Linked DNA regions of Mus musculus. The protein of the gene in region 1 purifies or fractionates together with the protein of each later gene. This does not show direct contact. Links are inferred from orthologs where the notes say so. Each region holds a gene or a part of one and is shown on either strand. Other genes may lie near its edges.

Region 1 (3,600 bases):
AGTAGCATGTGGACTTAACCACTGAACCATATCCCCAGCTCTGTGGTTTTATTTTTTAAGTTAGTTCATTTCTCTTTGTGTGTGTGTGGGGGGGGGGGGGGGCGGTGCACACCAGAATGTAGTAAGCCCTTGGTGGCCAGAGGTATCAGGATCCTTGAAACTGGTTGTAAGATACCCAATTCGCTAGGAACTGAACGGGGGTCCTCTGGTAGAGTAGTACTTGAGCCATCTCTCCAGCCTCTGATTTTTGAGACAGGATTTCATGTAGCTTTGGTTGCACTGAACCTGCTATGTTAACCAAGGGTGACATCGAACTTCTGATCCTCCTACCTCTACCTTCCAAGTACTGGGGTTACAGGCGTTCGCCACCACTCTGGGTTTATGTACAGCTCAAGATCCACCCAAGGGTTTCACACATGCAAGGCAAGCATTCTACCTACTGAGCTATGTCTACTCAGCCCAACTGTTCTGTTCTGGGTTTTGGGTTTTTTGTTTTTGTTTTGAGACAGGACCACATAGTCCAAGCTGCTTTCAAATTCCTGATAGTCTTACTACCATCTCCCTCAAATGCCTTGATAACAGGCATGGGCCATCACACCCATCTCCCAAGTTACAGTTTTTTTGGTTTGAGTTTAGTATTTTATGTGTATGGGTGTTTTGCCCGCACCCTGCATGTCTGTGCACCATGTGCCAGCCCAGTGCTTTCGGAAACCAGAATAGGGTATCAAATCTCCTGGCACTGGAGTTATAGATGTTTCGAGACATCATCTGGGTGCTGGGAATTGGCTCCAAGTCCTGCAGAACAGCCTGTGCTAACTTCTGAGCCAGCTCTCTAGCGCTCCAAGTTACAGTTTTAAAAACCAAGAACATGCAGCTATACACAAGAAAATAGTATTTCTGTCTGCCCCTGGGGAAGCTCAAAGGACTGCAGATCTGAGAGTTTTATTTCATTCTAAGGAATGTTATGAGGTAGGCCCTGATATATCATTCCCATTTTACACATGAGGAAAAACAATTGAGTCTCCTAGGATGAAACACTATATAGTAGCTTCAGCCAGAATTCAAACTCAGTATCGAGCTAAGCATGGTGGTGCACTGTTGCGGCCGTCTAGATTCCTCTCTTACAGCTTGAGTAGCCATATCAGTCGAACCGTTCATGTTGCGAGCTGCTGGTGGCCGCAACAGTGCACTCCTTTAATCCCAGCAGAAGCAGGTGGACCTCTGGTCAGTTCAAAGCCAGCCTGTTTTACATGGTGAGTTCCAGGTCAGCCAAGGCAATATAGTAAAACCTTGTCTCAAACAACAACAACATTATAATAAAATAAAAATTTTAAAAACCTCTGGTCTTATTCCCACTGCCACACTGTCTTAAGACTGTTACAGGACTGAACAGGTGAAGTCTATGGACCAACAGACACTGTGTTAAAAACAAACAAAAACAAGGTTTTAGAACTTTAGAGGAAACATCTGCTTTTTACCTGTGCAGGCTGATCTCAACCTTACGATATTTCTACTAGGACTACAGATGTCCAGCACCACACTTGGCTATCAGGTGCAGTTTGTACTGCAACTCTGTAAAACGCAGAGTCGATAACTTCACTGTAACTTAATTTCACACTTAACAATGCACTGACACACTGCATTTAGAATACACTAGAAAATGCACATGACACAAACTATTACTATCTGAAGAGAATTACGGGCTTTCTATGTATATGAGTACATTGTAGCTGTCGTCAGACACACCAGAAGAGGGCATCAGGTCCCATTACAGATGGTTGTGAGCCACCATGTGGTTGCTGGGAACTGAACTCGGGACCTCTGGAAAAGCAGACAGTGCTCTTAACCACTGAGTCATCTCTCCAGCCCCGAGTTACAGGCTTTTGACAGCAAATGAATGACTCCTCCCCTAGTTTTAATCTTTCAGTGTGCTTTAAATTCAAACTGGTTAGTTTTGATGTGGACCTGTTCAAAGCAATGAGAACTGTAGACGTGAAACTCTTAGCAGACACACAGCAAACATTTTAAAATTAGGCTAAATTTCTTTTTGTTTCTGTTTGTTTGTTTTTCGAGACAGAGCTTCTCTTCAGCCACTGGCTGTACTAGATTTTGTCATCCAAACAATCTTAAGGCGACTCGTGTGACTTGTCCCGATGCCCGTCAGACAGCCACAAACGGGAACCCAACTCTAAGTCTCCCACTTACTGCCAACTTTTTGTAGGGCTGTCTTACAGCAGAAAGGAACGAAGTACCAAAGGGCAGTGTTTAGCTTACTAAAAACAAAACCCGCTCTAGTGTCTGGTCAGTCGCCACAGGGATCCCTCCTCATTACAGTCCCTTTCCCAAGCAAGACAAGCCCATCAAACAGGGGCCACCGCCACATCTCCCCGGGTGCTGCAAGGACCTGTGAAATAAAGTGTTAGATGCCCTGGGAGATAAAGTGGCTTCGGTGACATTCATGCCCCGCTCGGAACCCCTTCGCATTTTGGGCCCCAGGAGATCAGGAGGGAAGACATAGTAAGACAAGTGTAAACCGTTTCTCCGTTTCTTAGAGCCCAAAGGCTCCCCATCTCGTGGCCCGGTCCGGCCTGGCCCGCCTCACCCGAAAGTGCTGGTCCCGGTACTCGCTGAGTTCCACGTAGGAGTCGCTGCGCAGCGCCTTCAGTAAGCCACCCGACATGATGCAGAAACACCAAACCCGACACGGCCACGGCCGGGAGAACCAAGCGGCGGGCGGCGGAAACGGAAATGCGGGCGGCGTGCTCCAGAACCACGGGGCGAGCCGTGTCGTCATCATACAGCGCCGGCTAGTCCGTCGTCGGGCGTGGCCGTCCGGAAGGCGAAGGCAGCGAGCGTCGGGTTCCGTGGCGCGGGGAGAGCCATGGTCTTCCGGCGGCTGCTGGCGGCCCTGCTGCACAACCCGCAGCTGGTGGAGCGGCTGTCCGAGTCGCGGCCCATCCGGCGGGCGGCGCAGCTCACAGCCTTCGCGCTGCTACAGCTACAGCTGCGCGGCCACGATGCAGCCCGCCGCCTGCGCGCCCTCGCGGATCAGCCGCCCGGTGCCCTGCGTCGCCGCGTCGTGAGGTTCAAGGACACTTTCACCGAGGAACTCCGCCGTGGCGTCCGGGACCGTCCAGGGCAGCAGAAGGGTCCGGGCGCCAAAGCGTAAGCACGGACTGGACCCTCCCGGGCCGAGGTCACGTACCCGTCCCTTCAGTGATCTACACCGACCTCAGCAGTCACGAGTCATCTCCAGGACGCTACGCTGCTTCGAATCCTAACTCGGATTGTCCTACAGATGCCTAAAGTCAAATGGACATGTGCCCGGTAGTCCTGCAGACGTAAAGACCTCGAGGCCCACCAGTGATAGAGAATCTAGACCATAACAGCACGACTGAGAGTCATGGACAATCAGAAAGCAAGCCTGCCGTCTGCAAGCAGGACTGAAGCTGAATTCCTGCTGCTGCATCTGCACTGGTGCAGGAGAATACCAGGGGAGCTTGTAAATGGAACGACAACCCCGAGGTTGCCAAAATCCTTCATTAAATGTGTAAGCTGATTAATAGTCTGAATGTGGTATTTCTCAGACAAGGAGGAATG
Region 2 (3,728 bases), on another chromosome or scaffold:
TGCCTGCACAGCACTCAACTGGACTACAGGATTATCACTTGTGGCATTCTGCAACAACAAGTGTATATTTCAGACATTTAAAAGAAGAAAAAAAGAAACTATTTCAAAACATTTCAGAATGACAGTATTAAATTAATAACATACCTGTAATATAGCTTCTAGTGTTACATTTTGCTTAAAAAGAAAGAAAGATAGTTCAGCAGAGAATATTAACAAAACTATTAGTCTATCAGGTAATGATTTAACATGCCTTGTTATCACTATTATCTTTTTTTTCTTAAATTTAAACTAATGCTCCCCTTTTTATAACAAAAATATTTAGAGGTACATTATAAACACACAGGCAACTTACTGCTTTAAAATCAGCATCAACATCTGAATCTTCTAAGCTTTCTTCTTGGGGAACATTTCTCTTTTTCAGTAAGTGTTCGTCTCTTTTGTTCTGAAAGACAATCAATGAAAGCTTAAGAACTCATGAAGGCTGTTGTTAAAATGAAGCTGCCTTTGGTGCCAAAATGAACAATGGCCTGGTTTAGCCCCACTGCTTTTGTGTCATCCCACCCCCAGTTCACTAAGTACCACCTGTCCTGACCAACACTATAAGGGTTTACCTGGGGTACAGTAAAGCAGTTTCTACCTACCTACTGCTAATAGCTGCCTGAAGTTATTAAGAAGACAATAAGAACAGCTTAAGGACACATAGCAATGCCTCACTCCAAGTTGAGGGTATGAGGAGTAAAAATATATTAAATGTCACTTAAATTAGCACCATTTCAGACTAAACTTTTATTTATCTTCTTCTACTACTACTATCATCAGCATCTTTACTATTAGGGGCATGAGGCACACTGCATAGATGGAAGAGGTCAGAGAAAAACTTTGGGAATTTGGCTCTCTTCTCCAATTACGAGATCCAGATAGTCAGACTTGTGCTCCAGTAGCTGCAAGTATGCTTACTACCTGACCATCTTGCCAGCCCAGATTAAACTCTTGGTACATGAATTTCACAAACAAGAATTCATCCCATCTTCCATTTTATGACACTCAAATTGTTCAGAATGCTAACTATGCTATTTAAATTATTATTTAAAAGCAAGTAACCTTTCAACTTAAAATTTGAATGTAATTTTGTGGCCCAATATTTGTGAATGTATTTGATTATAGCAGTTATTAAAAGAGGCCTCAATATTCATGGCAAAATTAGGATTTAAAAAAATGAAAACTGCACACACATGTGCATACCATCAACTTTTATTCTGTGTATAAGCCAGCACATTTAAACACAATGACATTTATATAGTCATTAGCACATTCCCACTTTTATAACATCATTCTTTCTTAGTAACTACACAAATCACCAACCCTAGTTATATATTAAACTACAATATTTCATAGATGGCAACACCACTGATATTTATAAATCCCAAGTGGCCTCACACAGAATACATGCTCACATGCTAACATACAGTGACAAAAAAATGGTAGATGGCACTGTCTGATTTTTGTTTTGTTATGAGATGGTTACCAGGGACTGAACCTGGGGCTTTGCAAATGCTAGGCAAACACTCTACCACTAAGCCATACATGTAGCCTTCAGATGGCATTCCTGGCCAACTGACAAAATATACTACCATTAATAAAGGACAAATTAACTGTGTGCTCCCTATCCCTTTGGCACTGCTTACTAAAAATCAGACTAACCCTAATCTATCATTTCGAGGGTTTAAAAAAAAAAAAAAAAAAAAAAAGCCTGTATGCTTCAAAGATACAGTCACTAATGATGAGAAAGACTGAAAAAGAGTACCATAAAAAAATGCAGGACCTATCTTGGATGGGCTCTTTTTGACTTAGACTTTGCAAATTACAAGTTGACTCTACTGATTAGACATAATCCTCATTAATCTTGTAAGTGTGCTATTACATAAGTCTCTTTTTTATGAAATATGAGTTGATATACTAAAGGCAATAGGAAACCCTACTAGAGCTGGCATAAAGGAAAATGACTGTGAGTTAACATATAAATTAAAAAGAAAATAAAGCAAATATCGAAAATGCTAACAATCCAAAGAAACTAGGTGCCACAAGGATATACACAGTGGTTTTGTATTATTCTTTGAACTTTAACTTTCAAACTACAAATCTGAGATTGTTTCCAAAAAGCTAACAACTTATTCCATTTAAAACTTTAAACAAATCAACTTTCAGTACAACTATAACCCCAGCTAGTTTTTTGTCAACTTGATACAAACTACAGGAACTCTCAGTTAAGAAAATACCTCCGTGAGATTTGTCTAGAGACAAGACTATGGGGCACTGTCTTGATTAATGGTTAATTTCAGAGGGTCTAGGTAACACTAGAAATGTTACCCATGGGTTGGTGGTCTCAGGTACTGTAAGGAAGCAGGATAGCAAGCCACAAGGTACACACCAGTAAGTAAGCAACACTCTTCTATGGCCTCCATTTCAGTTCCTAATGACTTCCCTAGATAATTGACTACGCAAGCTAGAAGATGAAATAAACTCTTTCTCTCAGGCTGTTTCAGTCATGTGGTTAGAAACCTTAAGATAATACCTCTTCCCCAAACTATTTTAACCTTGATCCCTTCTATTTTCATGCTGGTTTAGTCCAGCTTCTTAGCACCTGAAAAGTTACGCTTCCAAAGCCTTTCAGGAATCTTATCCATTACTCCTGCTCTTCCAGGTATAGACATACATTCCCCACTCTTAGGTCAGTACTTGGACATTATCTACAGCCATGTGTTATACAGCTAAGTATGCTCTTGTCTAGTTTGGAAGATCATTTCTGATATTTTATTTTGAGAGACAGTGTCTCACTAGGTAGAGTAAGTAGACCCCCCAATAGGTCTGTTTAACTTGCTATGCATACCAGACTGGCCCCAAACTCAAGGAGATGTGGCTGCCTCTGCCTTCAGAGTGCCAGGATAAAAGCACATGCCACCATACAGAGCAGAAAGAACCTTTCTATATCTAACTTGTTAGGTTTCCTTTCATTCATGAGAGAATATTTAGTTTTACCAAATTATGTTCCTCTTTTATCAACTTCCCACTTTCCTCTGCAAATGGGGATGAAATAACCCATTTTTCAACATTAAACTACCCTTTTAATTCAAGGACAAACATTCCAAAATTTTTCTAAATTATGTATTATTGGACTCAGTTTATTAAGATTTTATTTAAAATGTTCTTCTCTTTCCCCAAGTGGAACTGGATGACAAGCATCATTTGATGCTCTGATGGTGTTTTTTTTTTCTTGTTTCATAAGGAACTGGGAAGTGTGTCTTCTTTTCTTACATCTGAAATCATTTAACAAACTGGAATTATTTGCTTCTTTGAATGGCTGCTAGTACTCACCTACAATACTACTTTTATCTTGCAAAAAAAGGAAAAAGAAATTACAATAGTTTTTCGCTCCTGATTAATTTGTTTTTAGAACTCAGCATGGGTACTCCACACCTACCCTGCCATCTATCTCACTACGTGTAGGTGGTTAAACAAGATCTCCCTCCCTGTTTCCACACTTGCAGCAGTACAGTCTGTGCTGAGCAGAGGTGGAGCGGTGTGACCTGCCTGCCTTGGCAGAGGAGCATTAGACTAGAGAGCTTGAAAGTACTCAGATGGTGGAGACCGTCCTCTCTTACTGCTCTTTCTCAAACTACCAGGGAAACACTGAACAACAGAAGACTGGGCTACGGGACGTGGAGAACAAG

Evidence for each region. Proteins that work in one complex are often made in the same cells at the same time.
Region 2: the proteins of Ncbp2 (region 1) and Kpna3 purify together in Homo sapiens (co-immunoprecipitation; 3 studies listed by BioGRID and IntAct, with this or other methods). This does not show direct contact. The link is inferred for Mus musculus from reciprocal best matches to the Homo sapiens genes NCBP2 and KPNA3.

Annotation. Positions count from the first base shown.
Region 1 is NC_000082.6:31,947,730-31,951,329, reverse strand, and holds the start of Ncbp2 (nuclear cap-binding protein subunit 2), read right to left. Parts: upstream 2,785-3,600; 5' UTR 2,681-2,784; coding exon 2,603-2,680; intron 1-2,602. Other genes in the region: 0610012G03Rik (hypothetical protein LOC106264), read left to right, coding at 2,882-3,169. UniProt on the Homo sapiens protein: Component of the cap-binding complex (CBC), which binds co-transcriptionally to the 5' cap of pre-mRNAs and is involved in various processes such as pre-mRNA splicing, translation regulation, nonsense-mediated mRNA decay, RNA-mediated gene silencing (RNAi) by microRNAs (miRNAs) and mRNA export.
Region 2 is NC_000080.6:61,391,404-61,395,131, forward strand, and holds part of Kpna3 (importin subunit alpha-4), read right to left. Parts: intron 443-3,728; coding exon 353-442; intron 175-352; coding exon 145-174; intron 49-144; coding exon 1-48. UniProt on the Homo sapiens protein: Functions in nuclear protein import as an adapter protein for nuclear receptor KPNB1. Binds specifically and directly to substrates containing either a simple or bipartite NLS motif.